Arabidopsis thaliana: one gene and its partner. The protein of the gene in region 1 interacts with the protein of each later gene in a pairwise test. Each region holds a gene or a part of one and is shown on either strand. Other genes may lie near its edges. The genes, in order: AT4G34920 and FOLK.

Evidence for each region.
Region 2: the proteins of AT4G34920 (region 1) and FOLK interact in a protein complementation assay, tested with the Arabidopsis thaliana proteins (one large-scale study listed by BioGRID).

The regions. Positions count from the first base shown.
Region 1 is NC_003075.7:16,633,520-16,637,643, forward strand, and holds AT4G34920 (PLC-like phosphodiesterases superfamily protein), read left to right. Parts: upstream 1-1,984; 5' UTR 1,985-2,225; coding exon 2,226-3,182; 3' UTR 3,183-3,464; downstream 3,465-4,124. Other genes in the region: AT4G34910 (P-loop containing nucleoside triphosphate hydrolases superfamily protein), read left to right, coding at 1-186, 322-417, 502-639, 715-797, 879-1,146, 1,241-1,315; AT4G34930 (PLC-like phosphodiesterases superfamily protein), read left to right, coding at 4,032-4,124.
Region 2 is NC_003076.8:23,668,453-23,673,530, forward strand, and holds FOLK (Phosphatidate cytidylyltransferase family protein), read left to right. Parts: upstream 1-1,814; 5' UTR 1,815-2,060; coding exon 2,061-2,375; intron 2,376-3,178; coding exon 3,179-3,246; intron 3,247-3,332; coding exon 3,333-3,464; intron 3,465-3,603; coding exon 3,604-3,719; intron 3,720-3,825; coding exon 3,826-4,118; 3' UTR 4,119-4,417; downstream 4,418-5,078. Other genes in the region: EOL2 (ETO1-like 2), read right to left, coding at 1-22; AT5G58570 (uncharacterized protein), read right to left, coding at 4,418-4,678. UniProt on the Arabidopsis thaliana protein: Kinase involved in negative regulation of abscisic acid (ABA) signaling. Substrate preference is farnesol > geraniol > geranylgeraniol, but has no activity with farnesyl phosphate. Can use CTP > ATP > GTP = UTP as phosphoryl donor.

The DNA of each region.
Region 1 (4,124 bases):
CAATTCAATGCAGGACTTTTCGATTACTTGATTGCAACGGATGATAATAGCCAGACTAAAAAACAAAAGGAAGAGGCTAAAGGTGAGGCTAACAAGGAGAACAAGAAAAATAATAAGCGTAGCAAACCAAAGCTAGATGCTGAGTTCGGTGTAGTTAGGGGAATTGATTTCAAAAAAGTTCACACGGTATGCTACTTGACTTTTGCTAAGGGGGTTTTCTTTTCTTTGTTTTTGTACTCTTTGCTGCTTGGGATATTGTAAGAATCCTTCTTTTCTTTGCTCTATACTCTTAACCTTCCCTTAAACCTTTTTTATGCACAGGTTATAAACTTTGATATGCCTCAAAGTGTTACTGGATATATCCATCGAATTGGGCGTACAGGGAGAGCATATAGCAGCGGATCTTCCGTTTCTCTTGTGAGTTTCTCGTCTAATAATACTGTTGTTTGGCATGATCTCTTTAAATTTTGCAAGTCTAATGCTCTGCTTTATTTGGCACAGATTTCTCCTGATGAGATGGAAGGGTTTGAAGATATAAAGTCCTTCTTAGCAAGCGACAAGAACAAGGATATTGATATTATCACACCCTTTCCTTTGTTGACCGAAAATGCTGTCGAGTCTCTTAGATATAGAGCTGAGGTGAGTAATCTCTGTAGTAAGATGATTACTTCTTTCATTAAGTGAACAGTATTAAAAGTTGCAATTTGTTTGCAGGATGTGGCAAAGAGTGTTACAAAGATTGCGGTTCGAGAGTCTCGAGCTCAGGATTTGAGGAATGAGATAATCAACTCTGAAAAGTAAGCAAGAACATAACTACGTGTGTGATGTGAATTCTCTTATTTTTTTCATCTTCTTAATTTCTCTACTTCTTTCTTCAGGTTAAAAGCTCATTTTGAAGCTAATCCAAGAGACTTAGATCTGTTGAGACATGACAAGCCTCTGAGTAAGACTGCACCTGCACCACATCTAAAGGACATCCCCGAGTATCTAGTGGACGCAAAGACTCAAGAAGCAAGCAAGATGGTAAAGCTAGCTAGAGCCGCAATGGGCAACACTAGGAGATCTGGTGGAGGCGGTGGTCGCAACAACAAAAACAAGAAACGGTCTAGAAAAGGCAGCGACCCACTCAAAACCTTCAACCCTAATGTAAAACACAACTGAATTTCTCCATTTCTTCTCTGTTTTGTGTGTATATTTGTGCTAATTTTTTCTATGTTGTTTGCTTACTTCAATCAACCAGGGGTCTAAGAGAGGAGCCGTTGGCCAGAAGGATGGCAAAGATTCTAGCTCGACCAAAAAACAGAAGACAGTTTAAGTTATTTCGTTTAGCGTAAGTGTAACCAAATTTTGACTCGTTATAGTCAATCACACAAAAGAACGGAGACGAGAGCATCAATCTTTGTAGCTCTATTCATGTAGCATCAGGAGACAAAGTTTTGTGAGCATATTATTAGCCTTTTGAGGTTTTTATTGAAATAGATTTTTGTAAGCTTATGAAGACGATATCTGCAGGGTTCAAAATACTCAAATCCACATGGTTTTGGACCCATTTAGATATTTTCGAAATGAATTGGCACATTATATGCTTGCACGTTTTTTGTTCCGAGTATTTATGCCACATGTGTCATCTAACTGATTGTGTATAATCAATTAAGTATACCAAATTGGATAAAATTTACCGATTGAAAATTAGTTGTTTTACTTGTACATCGTGGTCTATATATATCATTTTCCAACATAAATTATACACTTGAGAATAACACTTTCTGTTGAGTTGATTTCTTATATTAATGCCAAAGCTAAGACTAAATAAATTCTACAAAATATTTTTAAAAATTTTAACTTTTGAAAAGCTAACTTCAAATACTAAAATATATACTATTTGAAATTGATTAATATTATATAGACCAAGTTGGATTTTGATATAAACCACATCGCATATTCGTTTTATTAACAATTCATGTTTATCATGACCTAATTAGTTCTCTTAAATAGTTGTTGGCAACTTTTAATTAGATAGCCAATCAATTTGAATAAAGAGGTCAAACTCCAACCAATCCCACAACAAATAATTGTCTTTGATTTAACGTTTTACACTTAAAAGACAAACACTGCACGATATCTCTCTCAGATTTATAAGTGAACCCTACAAAGTACAAGTCGTAAACTCAACCACAAGAGAAACCTTATCTTCTTCTTCTTCTTCATCATCAATCTCTCAAGACATGCTCTCTTTTTTCTCTAACCAGATCGACCGGCAAAAAGATGTGTCTAATGAGGAAAAAACCCTAACCAATCTCGAAAAATCTGACGGTTCACAATTCCCTGGCGATGACTACCGTCCGTCCGATCGGAAAAACTGGATGGCTGGTCTTACGTTGGAGAAACTAACTCTAAACAAGATCGTGTGGCCAGGAACGCATGATTCAGCCACCAACGATATCGGAATACCTCTGATCTCTCGTCCTTTAGCTGAATGCCAATCGCTCTCTATCTACGAGCAGCTCGTCCTCGGGACACGTGTCCTCGATATCCGTGTGCAAGAGGATCGCCAAATCTGCCACGGGATTCTGACGTCATACGAAATTGATGTTGTCATTGATGACGTTATCAGATTCTTGTCGGAGACTCACTCGGAGATTGTAATCCTGGAGATAAGGACTGAGTTTGGACACAAAGATCCTCCGGGGTTCGAGACTTACTTGGCAGACAAGTTAGGTCAATTCTTGATACATCAAGATGATAGCTTGTTCAACAAGCCGGTATCAGAGATTTTGCCGAAAAGGGTTATATGCATCTGGAAACCTAGAGAGTCTCCAAAGCCGAGCCGTGGTGGAATTCTCTGGAACTCAGATTATCTAAAAGATAATTGGATCGATACGGATCTTCCATGGACGAAATTTCAGAGCAATTTGAAGCATCTGAGTGAGCAGCAGCCGACATCTTCTAGAAAATTCTTTTACCGGGTTGAGAACACGGTCACGCCGCAAGCAGATAATCCGGTTGTGTGGGTTAAACCGGTGACTGATCGGATCCGAAAACACGCCAGACTATTTATTTCTCAGTGTGTTTCCAAGGGATGTGGAGATAAGTTGCAGATTTTGTCCACTGATTTCATCGAAGGAGATTTCGTTGATGCCTGTGTCGGCCTTACTCACGCAAGAATCGAAGGAAAGGTTTGATAGAACTCTGGAACGATCGATGGTTGATCTCAAGCATTGGAACCAAGATTATTTGCTTTTGGGTTGCGTGTATCTTAAGTTATGCTATGTATTAAAGTGTGTAATTTAAGTTTTCTATGATTGTACATTATATCTGTTTTTCGTTATCCGTCCTGTTTGAAGAATCAAACAGAGAGATAAAGAGAAGGCAGGGGAATTTATTCAGTTGCTTTATTTTGCTCAGATTCTTGTACCAAGTTACATATCCTAGTGAAATTTCGAAACCCTTTTCGGCAAGATTAGCGTCTCAATATCCAAAACGCATCCGCCATCTAATGACCTCTTCAAGAAAGATTACTCATATATATGTTTTGGAGCAGCTTTTCTAAGCTCACTCAAATAGATTTGGATTTTGGACCACAAATCATTCACAGACCCTGCCTAAAACCTGACCATCTTTCTCTTTTCGGATTTTTCAACTATAGTCTTATTTTGGAGCGTCGGAATAATTAAATTTTGTTTATCTTGTTGATTAGTTATTGACTTATTTCAAAGCCTGATTAAATATTTATACAAAAGTAAACTTATAATTAGGAAGAAAAAAAGTTAAAATAAAGAGAAGGGTGTCTAAGAACATTCTGACAAATATTTTATCGAATATTGGATTATCGTATGAAATAGTTGTAAATAAACACATCGCATGTATATAGCTTGTCAACAACTTCATATATAATAATAAAGAACAACAACTTGATATCTTATATATGGTTTAGAAAGGAAAAGTCTTAGTGACGGAGTGGTGGCCAACTTCGTTAAGTTGAGAATTTAACCAGAAAGAACCTAAAGAAAGTTCTCATCTCTCAAATAAACATGTCTTTTTTCGGAAAACTCGCAGACACTGTGGTATCTTTTGCAAACGATTCTGCGAAATCTGTTGTAGAAGAAGTGGTAAATCCAACGGTG
Region 2 (5,078 bases), on another chromosome or scaffold:
CAAAGAGTTTGAGATTGCGCATTTTGCTATATCACAGAAATCTGAGAAAAGGGTTTGATTTTGAAGTAAAGAGAGAGTGAGGGAGACGGAGAGAGCAAGAGAGAGAGAGAGAGAGAGAGAGAGAGAGAGAGAGAGAGAGAGAGAGAGTTGAAAACACAAGCTCTGTCTCCGGTGACAACACACAGTGCAGAGACAAAAAGGAGAGAGAGAGAGAGAGGAAGAAGAAGACGATGAAGTGTGATTGAGAATATAAATTATTTTTATAAAAAGGTCAATAATTTGGGGAGAAAAAAGAGTAATGGCGTCGATTTTTGCAAACCCAAAAAACATTTATATGGAAAAAAAATGGTCGAATCTCATATCTGTTTTTCTTTCTTTTATGCATTTTTTTGTGGAACAGTTTACGAACTTCAACAGTTGGTGGTTCTTATTGGGTGCGATACGAACCAGACCACTTTCCTTTCTCTTTCCTTTTTGTGTAAAGACCACTTTCCTTTTTTAAAACAATATTTTGTTTCTGTTTTTTTGGTGAGGAAATATTTTGTTTCTTTGTTAAATTGTTATTTTTTTCCATATTTGAAGATATTGGTATGGCTTTTAATTTGTGAAAATTTGGGTTTATTACAGAGTTATATGATGATTAAATATAGTTTAGAGAATTATAGATGGTTGGTTCGTTTCGGGTATAATTAAAATAAGCCTCTCTGACTATCCAACGTCATTGATTCATGTGATGCCAAGATAGGTAGGTTAACTAGTTATGTGGTTTCTTATCGGTTATCTCCTATCTAAACAATTGAGCTTAACATTAAACTTTGAAGATATTAACTTATCTCTCTAATGAACGAAAAAAATTCAGTTTTATTGGTTGATTGGTTATGATTTCAATGACTAACAAAGAAATGGTCTTTAATTTATGTACAGCATGAATTTACTCAATTTATTACATACAACATGATTTCAAAAAATTGCTTAAAATTTTGCAAAACATTTCTTTACTGTGATCACACTAATCATTTGTTAATCTGGTGTCTACTTTTTTACTCGCTAACGTGAGCGTGTATATTTATATTTTCTGAGATCTTCATAGTTTTAGGTTTTTAGCTTGTAGTTAGTTTTTTTTGTTCTCGATATTGGACCAACAACTATCAGGAAACGCATAATTTATTATATATATAAAAAACTCTCATAAAACGTACTGTATTAAAACAATAACAAATAAAAAGTGGAGAGAACTATATCCAGAACCAATTCTGATGTTCTTTTGCCCGCACACCTGGAAAACACATGCAAGTGTACTCTTTAAAGATAAACATATATACCATTTGCGAAATAATTGAGGATTTTTTTTCTTTTGCCAACAGATAAATAATATAAGATTGTTTCAGAAAAAAAATAAAGATGGATAATTGAGGATTAGGTTGGCATTATTTGATGCAAAAAATACTAAAGAAAATCTCACATTGAAATCAATTAAAATAATTTTCTTATGGTATATACAAGTTGATGCAAAATTGATAAAAGATTAAACAAGGCAAGAGACGTGTGGTCATGTGTCTCGGCAACCCATGTGAGGGAATCTGAATCACTTTTTTTTTTTTTTTTTTTATGTTTCTCGAATCTGAGTAGCACAATAATTGAATTGTGTTTCGTAACTAAATTAGGGATTTATTAATCATGAAAAATTATTTGATGAAATCAAATTGTGGTCCGTCTAGTTGACTTATACCAGCCCAAATTATTTAGCGAATATAAAGCCCAAACTAGGCCCACAATAACAAATTATGCGTTTCCTCAAACGAACACCACCATGTCATGAACCATTCTAGCCGAATCCAAATAGAACGAAACTAAAATTGCTTTAATCCATATGTGACCAGATAAAGTAAAACACTCCTTTTGGGGAAATAAATATCCACTTTTCACCATCTTTTTGGTAAACAATAAAACAAACCAAATTTTGTGTGCTTGAGCAACAACAACTACCAACCAGTTACTGTCAAAAAAAATAAATGAAAACGTAATCGAAGAAAAGGTCGTGTTTTCTAGTGTTGCAGAAAATGGCAACTACTAGTACTACTACAAAGCTCTCCGTTCTCTGCTGCTCTTTCATTTCATCTCCTCTCGTTGACTCTCCTCCTTCTCTCGCCTTCTTCTCTCCGATTCCACGATTCCTCACTGTCCGAATCGCGACTAGCTTTAGATCGAGCTCTAGGTTTCCGGCCACCAAAATCCGCAAGTCTTCACTCGCCGCCGTGATGTTTCCGGAAAATTCGGTTTTATCAGATGTCTGCGCGTTTGGAGTCACTAGCATCGTTGCGTTCTCGTGCCTCGGTTTCTGGGGAGAGATTGGCAAACGTGGCATCTTCGACCAGGTTTTCGATCATTCAATTCACTTAATTAAATTATACACGCGTCGATTTGTTGAATAACGTTTTTGGAATGTTGCTCGATTCTGCAATTTCTGGTTAAAGCAACTTTGGATTCAGAGTAATGGTAGTAGTAAGCTTTATCGAGTAATGGATGGCATTAATGGCGAGGATAATAAATCTTATTAGTTCAAGAAATTATAGAATGTGAATGGATACCTATTTTGGGGTGGAAGAACACTGCGATAAACAATGGGAAAGTAACCCCATATCTGGTAAATTAGTGGGAAAATTGCTCAGAACCCAATTTGGGGATGAAATTTTTTTGAAATTCGTGCGGTATAATCACAATCTCATCGTAACTTGAAGATTCAACCATATTTATGATATATATGAATTTTGTAGGTTTAAATGTTGCACAATTTCTTTGCTATACTTTGAAGGATTATTTCTTCGTATGAGTCAGTCTATACACATATTGGACATGGCTTGTTTTTTTTTCCTTTCTCTTATGTGTTTCTCCGCAGTGACTTGTTTTTCTTCAAGTAATTTGGTTAGGAGTAGAGGAATTATCTATGATTAGCAAAAATTCTATTAAACATTTTTGGTTTGGGAATACCTGTATGGCTTCAGCTACTTGATTTTGTTTCTCTGACCTTATCGTGATTAAGATATCATCTCAGAACCCATTGAATTTATAAGATCCACAGGCTGTCTGATGTAGGACTGACTCCACTTTCATGGTTTTATTGAATGAGGCATTGGTTTAACATCTGTGGTTGACATTGGTGTTATTTCTTATTTTTCAGAAACTCATCCGGAAGCTTGTGCATATAAATATTGGGCTAGTTTTTATGCTTTGCTGGCCGCTGTTCAGGTAATAATACGGAGTGAAAGGATCGATTTTGATGTACCAGCTTGCTTTTCTGCTTCACCAGTTTATTTCGATATCAATTGTTTCAGTTCTGGAATCCAAGGAGCACTTTTCGCATCTCTTGTACCTGGACTCAATATAGTAAGGATGCTATTGCTGGGGCTTGGAGTGTACCACGACGAAGGAACAATCAAGTCAATGAGCAGACATGGAGATCGCAGGTAGCTGAATCGAACAAGTGTCTGTCACAATATCCAACAATCTCTTAGCATTCTTGGTATCTATGATCAAAATTCGGTTTGTCTGTTTATTATTGCTTTTGTCACTTCACAAAGTGTCTGTAGTCGCTCTCTGCATCAGGGAACTACTTAAGGGGCCGCTTTACTATGTACTGTCAATCACATCAGCCTGCATCTACTATTGGAAATCATCCCCAATCGCGATTGCGGTGATATGCAACCTTTGCGCAGGAGATGGTAAGTACAGTTAGCTCTGGTTTGATCCAATAACATTAGCAACTTTTGTCTTAGGAATTTGAATCCATTGAATGATGATTCTAATACACACACTTGCTGTTAAAAGGTATGGCTGACATTGTGGGTCGGCGGTTTGGAACAGAGAAGCTTCCTTACAACAAAAACAAATCATTTGCTGGTAGCATTGGAATGGCCACCGCCGGGTTTCTAGCATCTGTTGCGTATATGTACTACTTTGCTTCATTTGGTTACATCGAGGATAGCGGGGGAATGATTCTTCGTTTCCTCGTCATCTCTATAGCATCAGCTCTTGTGGAATCACTCCCAATAAGCACCGACATTGACGACAATCTCACCATTTCCTTAACCTCTGCCTTGGCCGGATTCTTACTCTTCTAATAATACCCTCTCGTTGTTATGTATCATCAAATAAAGGGTCGAGCTTGATTGCTGATATGGAGGTAAAACTGCATTCATTGTTCCCATCTTCTTCTGTATGTACGTATTAGTGAAACATCTCATATTGTTGTTGTCCACAAATCTTATTTTTCAGCTGCAATTGCAGTTGGGTACAATGTTGTAATGTTCTATCCATTAGTGAGACATATGATGACGAACAGTGACGCTTCTACAATTTGTAACAGATACTCTTTTGTAACAGATATTCAATACATGTTTGTTTGTTATTTGGCCTATGGCTATGTGGAAATGGATTGTTTGCTTACAACAGGTGAGGGCTTGAGTGTCCCGCTCCAGGAAGCCTCTTCTGACAGGTCGGACTGGTGACTGTAACGGCGTTTCAGACAAGGAAGCAACACGAGGAACAAGAGGAAGACGGCGAAGCTGATGACAAGAACTACCGTCAAGATCTCACCATGCATGGCGTAGTGTCTGTCTCTAGTGAAAGTAAGTCGTTCGCCATCTTCAGGACTCGAGGCCTCCACCGTAGAAGTTACCATTAGAGAGGTAATCTCAAATATTCTCAAATCTCAACTCCTTTGCTCATACCTACTTCATACTGTCATGCATCATCTTGGAGGGATTTGTGTCTGTTTCTTTTTCCTCTCTGAAATATAAATTTGACTTGGGAGAATATGTATCAAATGAAAACAATATGTCACCACAGAAGAAAAGAAGAGTTTAAATATATTTCTTTGGGATAATTTAGTAGATGGATTTTTGTATAAAGGTTGGTGTAGAAAGTGAGACTGGGACGTTCGTTAGTGATTGCTCTCTACATATGGGGCGTTGGATTGGGTCTTTTTGGATCTTACGTGCGACGTCGTTTTCGTAATTTGAAGAAAATCCTTTTCGTGTGGCTCCCATAACCGACTCCGTGACTTTCCCGGAAATTTCCTC